Linked DNA regions of Callithrix jacchus. The protein of the gene in region 1 purifies or fractionates together with the protein of each later gene. This does not show direct contact. Links are inferred from orthologs where the notes say so. Each region holds a gene or a part of one and is shown in the gene's direction. Other genes may lie near its edges. The genes, in order: RAB5B and GDI1.

What was found.
Region 2: the proteins of RAB5B (region 1) and GDI1 purify together in Homo sapiens (affinity purification with mass spectrometry; 3 studies listed by BioGRID and IntAct, counting the BioPlex papers as one, with this or other methods). This does not show direct contact. The link is inferred for Callithrix jacchus from reciprocal best matches to the Homo sapiens genes RAB5B and GDI1.

The regions. Positions count from the first base shown.
Region 1 is NC_133510.1:63,689,982-63,693,789, reverse strand, and holds part of RAB5B (ras-related protein Rab-5B), read left to right. Parts: intron 1-2,435; exon of another isoform or gene 2,436-2,588; intron 2,589-3,352; 5' UTR 3,353-3,444; coding exon 3,445-3,607; intron 3,608-3,808. UniProt on the Homo sapiens protein: The small GTPases Rab are key regulators of intracellular membrane trafficking, from the formation of transport vesicles to their fusion with membranes.
Region 2 is NC_133524.1:150,231,682-150,236,017, forward strand, and holds the start of GDI1 (rab GDP dissociation inhibitor alpha), read left to right. Parts: upstream 1-1,410; 5' UTR 1,411-1,493; coding exon 1,494-1,538; intron 1,539-2,748; coding exon 2,749-2,856; intron 2,857-2,981; coding exon 2,982-3,081; intron 3,082-3,190; coding exon 3,191-3,325; intron 3,326-3,811; coding exon 3,812-4,010; intron 4,011-4,268; coding exon 4,269-4,336. Other genes in the region: ATP6AP1 (V-type proton ATPase subunit S1), read left to right, coding at 20-229. UniProt on the Homo sapiens protein: Regulates the GDP/GTP exchange reaction of most Rab proteins by inhibiting the dissociation of GDP from them, and the subsequent binding of GTP to them. Promotes the dissociation of GDP-bound Rab proteins from the membrane and inhibits their activation.

The DNA.
Region 1 (3,808 bases):
CTGAATTTCATCCAGAAGTGCTTGAGTAGTAACCATAGCTATAGACTGTTCAGAAACTGAATTTATTTCCATCCCTACTACCCCATCTTTCAGTGTCAGCTCTCTCTAAAGCAATGTTTTTAAAACTTTTTTTCTTAAATGATAACTCATAGTTTGAAAAAAATGAATAAATAGTTTAAAGAATAACTGATTGCCGGGCATGGTAGCTCATACCTGTAATCCCAGCACTTTGGGAGGCCAAGGCAGGTGGATCATGAGGTCAGGCGTTCAAGACCAGCCTGACTGACATGGTGAAACCCCATCTCTACTAAAAATACAAAAATTAGCCAGGCATGGTGGTGCGTGCCTATAATCCCAGCTACTTGGGAGGTTGAGGCAGGAGAATCGCTTGAACCCAGGAGGTAGAGGTTGCAGTGAGCAGAGATAATATAAATATATACGTACATATTTATTTATTTATTTAGAGACAGAGTCTCACTCTGTGGCCCAAGCTGGAGTGCAGTGGTGCAATCATAGCTCACTATAATCTTCAACTCCAGGGCTCAGGTGATTTATCACAGCCTCTGGAGTAGCTGGGATTACAGGCGTGTACCACCATGCCCAGCTAATTTTAAAAAATGTTTTGTAGGCTGGGCACAGTGGCTCACACCTGTAATCTCAGCACTTTTGGAGGCCAAGGCGGGTGGATCACGAGGTCAGGAGATTGAGACCATCCTGGCCAACGTGGTGAAATCCCATCTCTGCTAAATAAAAAAAATTAGCCAGGGGTGATGGTGAACGCCTATAATCCCAGCTACTTGGGAGGCTAAGGCAGGAGAATCACTTGAACCTGGGAGGCAGAGGTTGCAGTGAGCCGAAATCGCGCCACCGTGCTCCAACCTGGTGACAGAGCGAGACTCCAGCTCACAACAAAAAATGTTTTATAGAAACTCAGTCTTGCTGTGTTGCCAGGCTGGTCTCAAACTCCTCACCTCAAGCAATCCTTTCACTTTTATCTCCCAACCCCTGGGATTACAGGCATGAGCTGCTGTGCCAGGCCTGTTTTTTCTCTTTTTCTTTCTCTGTACCACTTTCATGTAGCTGCTGCCCCCACCCCCAGAAAGAGTCTTGCTCTGTTACCCAGGTTGAAGTGCAATGACAGGATCTCGGCTCACAGCAGCCTCCACCTCCCAGGTTCAAGCAGTTCTCCTGCCTCAGTCTCCCTAGTAGCTGGGATTACAGGCGCCCACCACCACACCTGGCTAAATTTTTTTTTCCTTTTTTTTGAGATGAAGTCTCGCTCTGTCATCAGGCTGGAGTGCAGTGGCATGATCTTGGCTCACTGCAACCTTCGTCTCCTGGGATCAACTGAATCTCTTGCCCCAGCCTCCCAGCTGGCTGGGACTATAGGCATGTGCCACCACACCCAGCTAATTTTTATATTTTTAGTAGAGATGGGGTTTCACCACGTTGGCCAGGTTGGTCTCGAACTGACCTCAGGTGTTCAAGGTCAGGTGATCCACCTGCCTCAGCCTACCAAAGTGCTGGGATTATAGATGTGAGCCACCATGCCTAGCCTGTGGCAGCTTTTTAGGAATATATTGATAACAACTACTATTGATATATATTTTAATAGCTATTATTATTGGAACTATGCTAAGCATGTCTTTCGCTTAATTTTTGTAGCTATGAGGATGGTATTTTTTCCATTTTACAAAGATAGAAAGTAAGGCTTAGAGAAATAGAGAAATTTTCTTTATGTCATATGATTAGTAGTTTAATATTTATTTAGTACTTAGTATATATCAAATACTTAAGTTATTTATATGTATGATCTCATGTAATCTTTATGATACCTTTATGAAGTAGGTGCGTATAAGACTGTTACCTCATTTTACAGATGAGGAAATGAATGCACACATACATTTAGTGACTTACCCAAGGTTCATAGCTAATAAGTAAAACTGGAAAACAAACCCAGAGAATTGGACTCCAGAACATTTGTTCCTCTGCATTGCCTCCTGTATGATTTACTGTCTTTACTATCTAGTAAGTGGGATTACTGAAATTTTTTAACCCCAGTTTAACTCCAAACCCACTAATTGTGACAAAATAATAATGTTTCCCCATATGCCATAGAGTATGATGTCTCTTAAGTCACTAGGATCAGCTTTGGAAAAGGGAAATATTAATTTGAACAAGCAAAGTACAACTGTCAAGCAGTGCTTACCTTTGGGAGAGAGATTTTTGCATGCTCTGCCCATGCTAACTCCCCTTTGAATTTATAGCTCCTTTCCGCTCAGAGTCATGATGATGAAATATATTCAGATTTAGATGATTAGAATCTCCAAGTCCCAACTCTCTGTTCCCTGCCCCACCAGCAGCTTTCTTAGCCCTCTTAGAAGATGAGGGAGTTGATTCAGTATATTCTTTCATCAAATATTGATTGCTTTCAGACTTACCCCTATACCATCCTCTGGAGATTCCTGCATGTGTTGAGAAAGTATACCTTCCTCTGCCTCTAATTTGGAGAGCTACAGCTATTAGGCCTCTTTGGTGTGGAGGGTAATCTAATCCCTAGGCACCAGCAAGACAGCTGCAAGTTGACGGTAGGTCAAGTTTACTGACTCTCAGACTTGATAGTCTTTCAGATTTGAAAAGAGGGCAGAAACAGTGAAAAAAATGTTGTTAATGAAACAGTTGATAATGAATATAATGGGTTGGTTGTATTTCTTTCTTTACCTTCAACAAAAAATGAGAAAGGATAGATTTTCTGTCAATGGGACCCTGGTTAGATCTTTAGAAATGTCTTATCAGGCAGACCAGTCATATATGAAGGATATAGCAGCAGCTATATAGCACCCTTAGAAGGGGTGACCTCTTATCCCACAACCCTAGAGTGAATCTCTCATTCTCACAATAGAGCTAAAAGAAAAAGAAGAACACAGCACCAGGATGCCAAGGAGATACTGGGAATCTAGTGTACCTGTGGGTGGATCTGGATATTCTTCAGGCCAACCAAAGGTTGATCAGTTTGTGTGACTCAAACAAAAAATCTTAAAGACCTGGTGGGAAATTACTAGGGAATTAAAATCTCTCAGTTTTCAGTCTCTCTATTTCAGGTCCCTTGGCAGTTAGAGATTATGTGATAGGGCAAACTCTAGAAGCAGTTCTTATTTTGCTGTTCCCAACTCTTAGAACTGAGTATCAGCTGCCCAGGACCTTCTCAGAGGTATAACCTGTCAATAGTGGATGATTGCAAGAGCTAAGTCCTCATAGGAGCAAGGAGATGAAGAGATTCTATGATTTCTCTAAAAAGCAATTGCAGTTCATTGGACCTATGTCTAATTTTATATACTTGTTTTTCTTGCAGGACTGTTGAAGCCTGGAAATCCCCTCCCCTTCCCCCTCCCCCCTTTACGGCATCCCCCTCCCTCCACCCTTTCCTACTCTGATAATCTGGCCATGACTAGCAGAAGCACAGCTAGGCCCAATGGGCAACCCCAGGCCAGCAAAATATGCCAGTTCAAATTGGTCCTGCTGGGAGAATCTGCAGTGGGAAAGTCAAGCCTGGTATTACGTTTTGTCAAAGGGCAGTTCCACGAGTACCAGGAGAGCACCATTGGAGGTGAGTGCCTTGGGGTAAGAGGATATTCAATGCTTGGTAAGGCTTTTTTCTTTTTCTTTTCTTTTTTTGAGATGGAGTCTCACTCTGTCTCCCAGGCTGGAGTGCAGTGGCGATCTCAGCTCACTGCAACCTCCATCTCCCTGGTTCAAGTGATTATTGTGCCTCAGCCTCCCGAGTAGCTGGGATTATAGGTACACACCA
Region 2 (4,336 bases), on another chromosome or scaffold:
CTGTCTGTGTGTCTGCCAGATCCAAGCTTTCAATGTGATGGGCGAGCAGTTCTCCTATGCCAGCGACTGCGCCGGCTTCTTCTCCCCCGGCATATGGATGGGGCTGCTCACCTCCCTCTTCATGCTCTTCATCTTCACCTATGGCCTGCACATGATCCTCAGCCTCAAGACCATGGATCGCTTTGATGACCACAAGGGCCCCACCATTTCTTTGACCCAGATTGTGTGACCCTGTGCCAGGAGGGGGTTGAGGGTGGGACAGTGTCCCTCTTCCTACCACAGCATGAACCCCAAGCTCCCTTTAGCCCATCTTGCTCCCCGTTCAGCCCACTAAGGAGATTTCCTGGGGCTGCCCCCATCCCTACCAACAAGGTGTACATAATTCTGCGTAGATGCTAGACCAATGTCCCAGGCTCAGCCGCGGTGAGGCGTAAGGGACATGAATTCTAGGGTCCCCTTTCTCCTTATTTATTGTGTCTACATCATCCCTGGCTGTGGATAGTGCTTTTATGTAGCAAATGCTCTCTCCTTAAGGTTATGGGGCTCCCTGAGTTTGGGGGTGTGGAGGTACTACTTAACTGTCTGACCTGCTTTGCTGTCGTTATTGTTTTCTGGTGATGCTGTGCTAATGATAAGCAGTACACTGGGGTTTATTTCTGTGGCCTGAGAAGGAAGGGACCTCCACCCCAGGTGGGCTGGGTGCAATCTCCAGCTGTCTGGCATGTTCCCATCGGGAGTGCCTGGCAGGAGCCTGGCGTGCTCGGTTGTTTCCTTCCTAATAAACGCGGATCGCCACGATTTGGGCCTCTTGTAGGTCATTTCTGCACTGGGCTTTAGGTGCGTGCTCGCTGGAGGGATGCGGGAGGATGGAGCCCGGTGAGGAAGAGGTGAGGAAGCATCCGCGGAGACCTGGAGGGGCTTTAGCAGGGTGGGCCCTAACCACTTAGGGCAGGAAGGGGCGGTCGGGCCGAGTCCCGTTACGCTTTGGCGACTCGGGAGGCCGTCGTGACAATGGCAGCCTTCGTATCATGAGGGGGCTGCCCCGGCTGCCGCAGCGGCGCGCACCCGGCCGCGGGACCGCGCCGAGCCTCCCGCGGGGCTGGGCGGGCGCGCGCGGGGCGGGGCGGGGCGGGGAGGATGGGGCGGGGCGCGCGCGGCTCCGCGCACGGATCCTTTCCTAGCCGCAGTACCGGCCGCCAGCCCGCCCCGCCCGCCCCGCCCCGCGCCTCTCTGGACCCTCGGCGAGCAGCGTCGTCCTCGGAGCCGCGCTGGTGCTGTGGCCCGGGCCCTAGCAGGTCTCCTGGGAGGCGAGCTGGGGAAACGGTGGATCTGGCCGGGCGCGGCGGGGCTCGAGAATAGGCGGGACTCTTTGACGAGGCGGAGGGGTCAGGCGGCGACCGAAACGCCGCCATCTTTGGTCCAGTGCTGCGGCGGCGGCGGCGGCGGTGAAGGAGGAGGAGGAGCCGAGCGGGCACTGGCACCGAGGCCTGACCATGGACGAGGAATACGATGTGATCGTGCTGGGGACCGGCCTCACCGTAAGTGCGGCCCCAGGCGCTCTTGGCCCCGTGTCTTGCCCTCGCCACCCCCCGCGATGATGTGGCCGCCGGCCCACCCTCCGGTCACTGCCATCTGATGCGCTCGGCTCTCCAAAAAGCCGGCACCGTGCCCACCCCGCCGCTCCCCGCGCCGCTCCCCCCGCGACGTCGCCTCTGCTTTTTGCTATGACCCCATCTTCCCGAAGGGGCCCCCTTCCTGGCTGCCCGGGTCTGACCCCCGGCACCCTCCCATCTTTCCTACCCCTGTGCCTGCTGGGCCGGAAAATGCACCCCAGCTAAGCCCGGTGCCCCGACCCCGCCCACCCATCGCCCCCACCCATCACGGAATCTCCCCCCCTCCCGCAGGTTGCCCGCACCCATCGCCCGCTTAGCGTCCCTTCCCATCTTGCGCTAATCCCGGTAGGGACAGGGACATGGGGTCAGGGGGCCTCCTCAGGGTGGGCCCTCAGCCCACCTCCTCGTCTTCTGGGGCCAGGGGATCCAGGGAATGTTCCAGAAGGAGCAGCGGTGGGGGCAGTAAGCACATTCCCTCAACCCCACCCCGGTTGCCTATGGAGACCTCAGGCTGAGTAGCATCTGCAGCCTTTGTCCTTGGGCTAGTGACAGTGACGGGTGAGGGTATTTATCTTCCCCTTTTCCCCAAAAACCCCGTTGGCCCGCTCCCCAGAGAGACTCTTCTTTCTCAGTCCAAGCCCAGATGCCCCTCATCAGCAGCAGGGTCTCCCGCCATTTGAAGAAAGATCAGTCCAGGGTGGGGCCTACAATTTCAAGGACTGCGCTAAGCCTTTCTTCACCTCCCTTTCGAGTGTCCTTCGCAGTCCAGCTAGGTCTCGTCTGCGCCTCATTGTGTTTTAACAGCCTTTCTGTGCAGCTCTGCGTAGATACATGTCCATTGGCTTGTGGGTACTGGAAGGCCATCCTGTGTCTGCTGGATGCCCTGCCTCTCTCAGAGCCTCCATTATTTCACTGCCTACCTTGTGAGGGGGATGGGACTCCTTTGCCCAGCAAGGTTACAAAGGAGACGGTGGTCAGATGAAGCTGTCACCCCAATTTTAGGCGAGGCAACTAGCTGGTTTGAGGGGGTGGAAGGAGCTGTCCACTGGATCAGGTTTGGGTGGGGAACAAATCAGGGCTGCTGGTAGGAAGGGAGGCAGGTAGGAGTGAGAGGATGGTATTGCCCTCCCTCCAGGAATGCATCCTGTCGGGCATCATGTCTGTGAACGGGAAGAAGGTGCTGCACATGGACCGGAACCCCTACTATGGGGGTGAGAGCTCCTCCATCACACCCCTGGAGGAGGTGAGACATCTGGGCCCAGGCCCATCCCTGTTCACCTCCCACGTAGCGGCACAGGGTAGAAGAAGCTCCCCAGGTGCCTGGAGCAGGAGGAGATGGTCCCTGAGGTGTCTCTCTTCTGCTTACAGCTGTATAAGCGTTTTCAGTTGCTGGAGGGGCCCCCTGAGTCGATGGGCCGAGGCCGAGACTGGAACGTTGACCTCATTCCCAAATTCCTCATGGCTAACGGTGAGGGACAGGAAGGACATATTGCAGGTCGGGGTGATGGGGAGGTGCAGCCAGACCAGCAGAGACTCTGGAGAGAGCAGTGCCGATGTTGCCCCATGCACACCCACAGGGCAGCTGGTAAAGATGCTACTGTATACAGAGGTGACTCGCTATCTGGACTTCAAGGTGGTGGAGGGCAGCTTTGTCTACAAGGGGGGCAAGATCTACAAAGTACCGTCCACTGAGACTGAGGCCTTGGCTTCCAGTGAGTGTGGGCCCCCTGAGCCAGAGAATCATGGGGTGGCAGGGAAGTTGACTGTCCTTGGGATGGGTGGCTGTCCAGAGTAAGGCACCCCCTTGTCCAAAGTCACATTCCCCATGAAGAACCAGAGGCCCTTCACTCTGTATCCTCTCTGCCCCATGCCATGCCTCACGGATGGCTGCCAGGAGAGAGGCCTACACGCAGCAGGGATGTGACGTGGAGGAGGACAGGGCTCCTTTGGAAAGACTTGACCTTTTGGCAGGGGCTCCACTGGATCCCCGAGACATCCCCAAATGTCCGAGCAAGGAAGGCCCTTAGAGCCATCCAGGCCAGTCCCCTCTTCATAGAGGCAGGGAAACCGAGGCTGAAAAGAGCGGAGGGGTTGAGCTAAGGTCCCACAACAGCTACACTGGGAGTGGGGCCCTGCCCTTTGGGAAGGAGAGTTTTGTGCTGCGCTGGTGCAGAACCTCGTCCTGCCGCCTGCCTTAGATCTGATGGGCATGTTTGAGAAACGGCGCTTCCGCAAGTTCCTGGTGTTTGTGGCAAACTTCGATGAGAATGACCCCAAGACCTTTGAGGGTGTTGACCCTCAGACTACCAGCATGCGTGATGTCTACCGAAAGTTTGATCTGGGCCAGGATGTCATCGATTTCACTGGCCACGCCCTGGCGCTCTACCGCACTGATGAGTGAGGGAAGCTGGTGTGGCGGCAGCCCCCTCGCCCGGCCTGCCTCCTCCCTCCCCACACCTGCCTGCTGTTCCCCTGCCCCGCATGTCTCTTGTACTCAGCCATAGGCTCACCTATCACCCTTTCCATTTCCCCCTTGCATTTGATCTTCATGTTCCCTAGGCCATTCAGGGTGGTGGGAAGACTGGCCTGGTACCTGGGTGGTGGTGAGTCAAGGGTGCTGCTATTGGAGCATCTTCCCTTACCCCTGTCCCCCAGCTACTTGGACCAGCCCTGTCTTGAGACCATCAACCGCATCAAGTTGTACAGTGAGTCCCTGGCCCGGT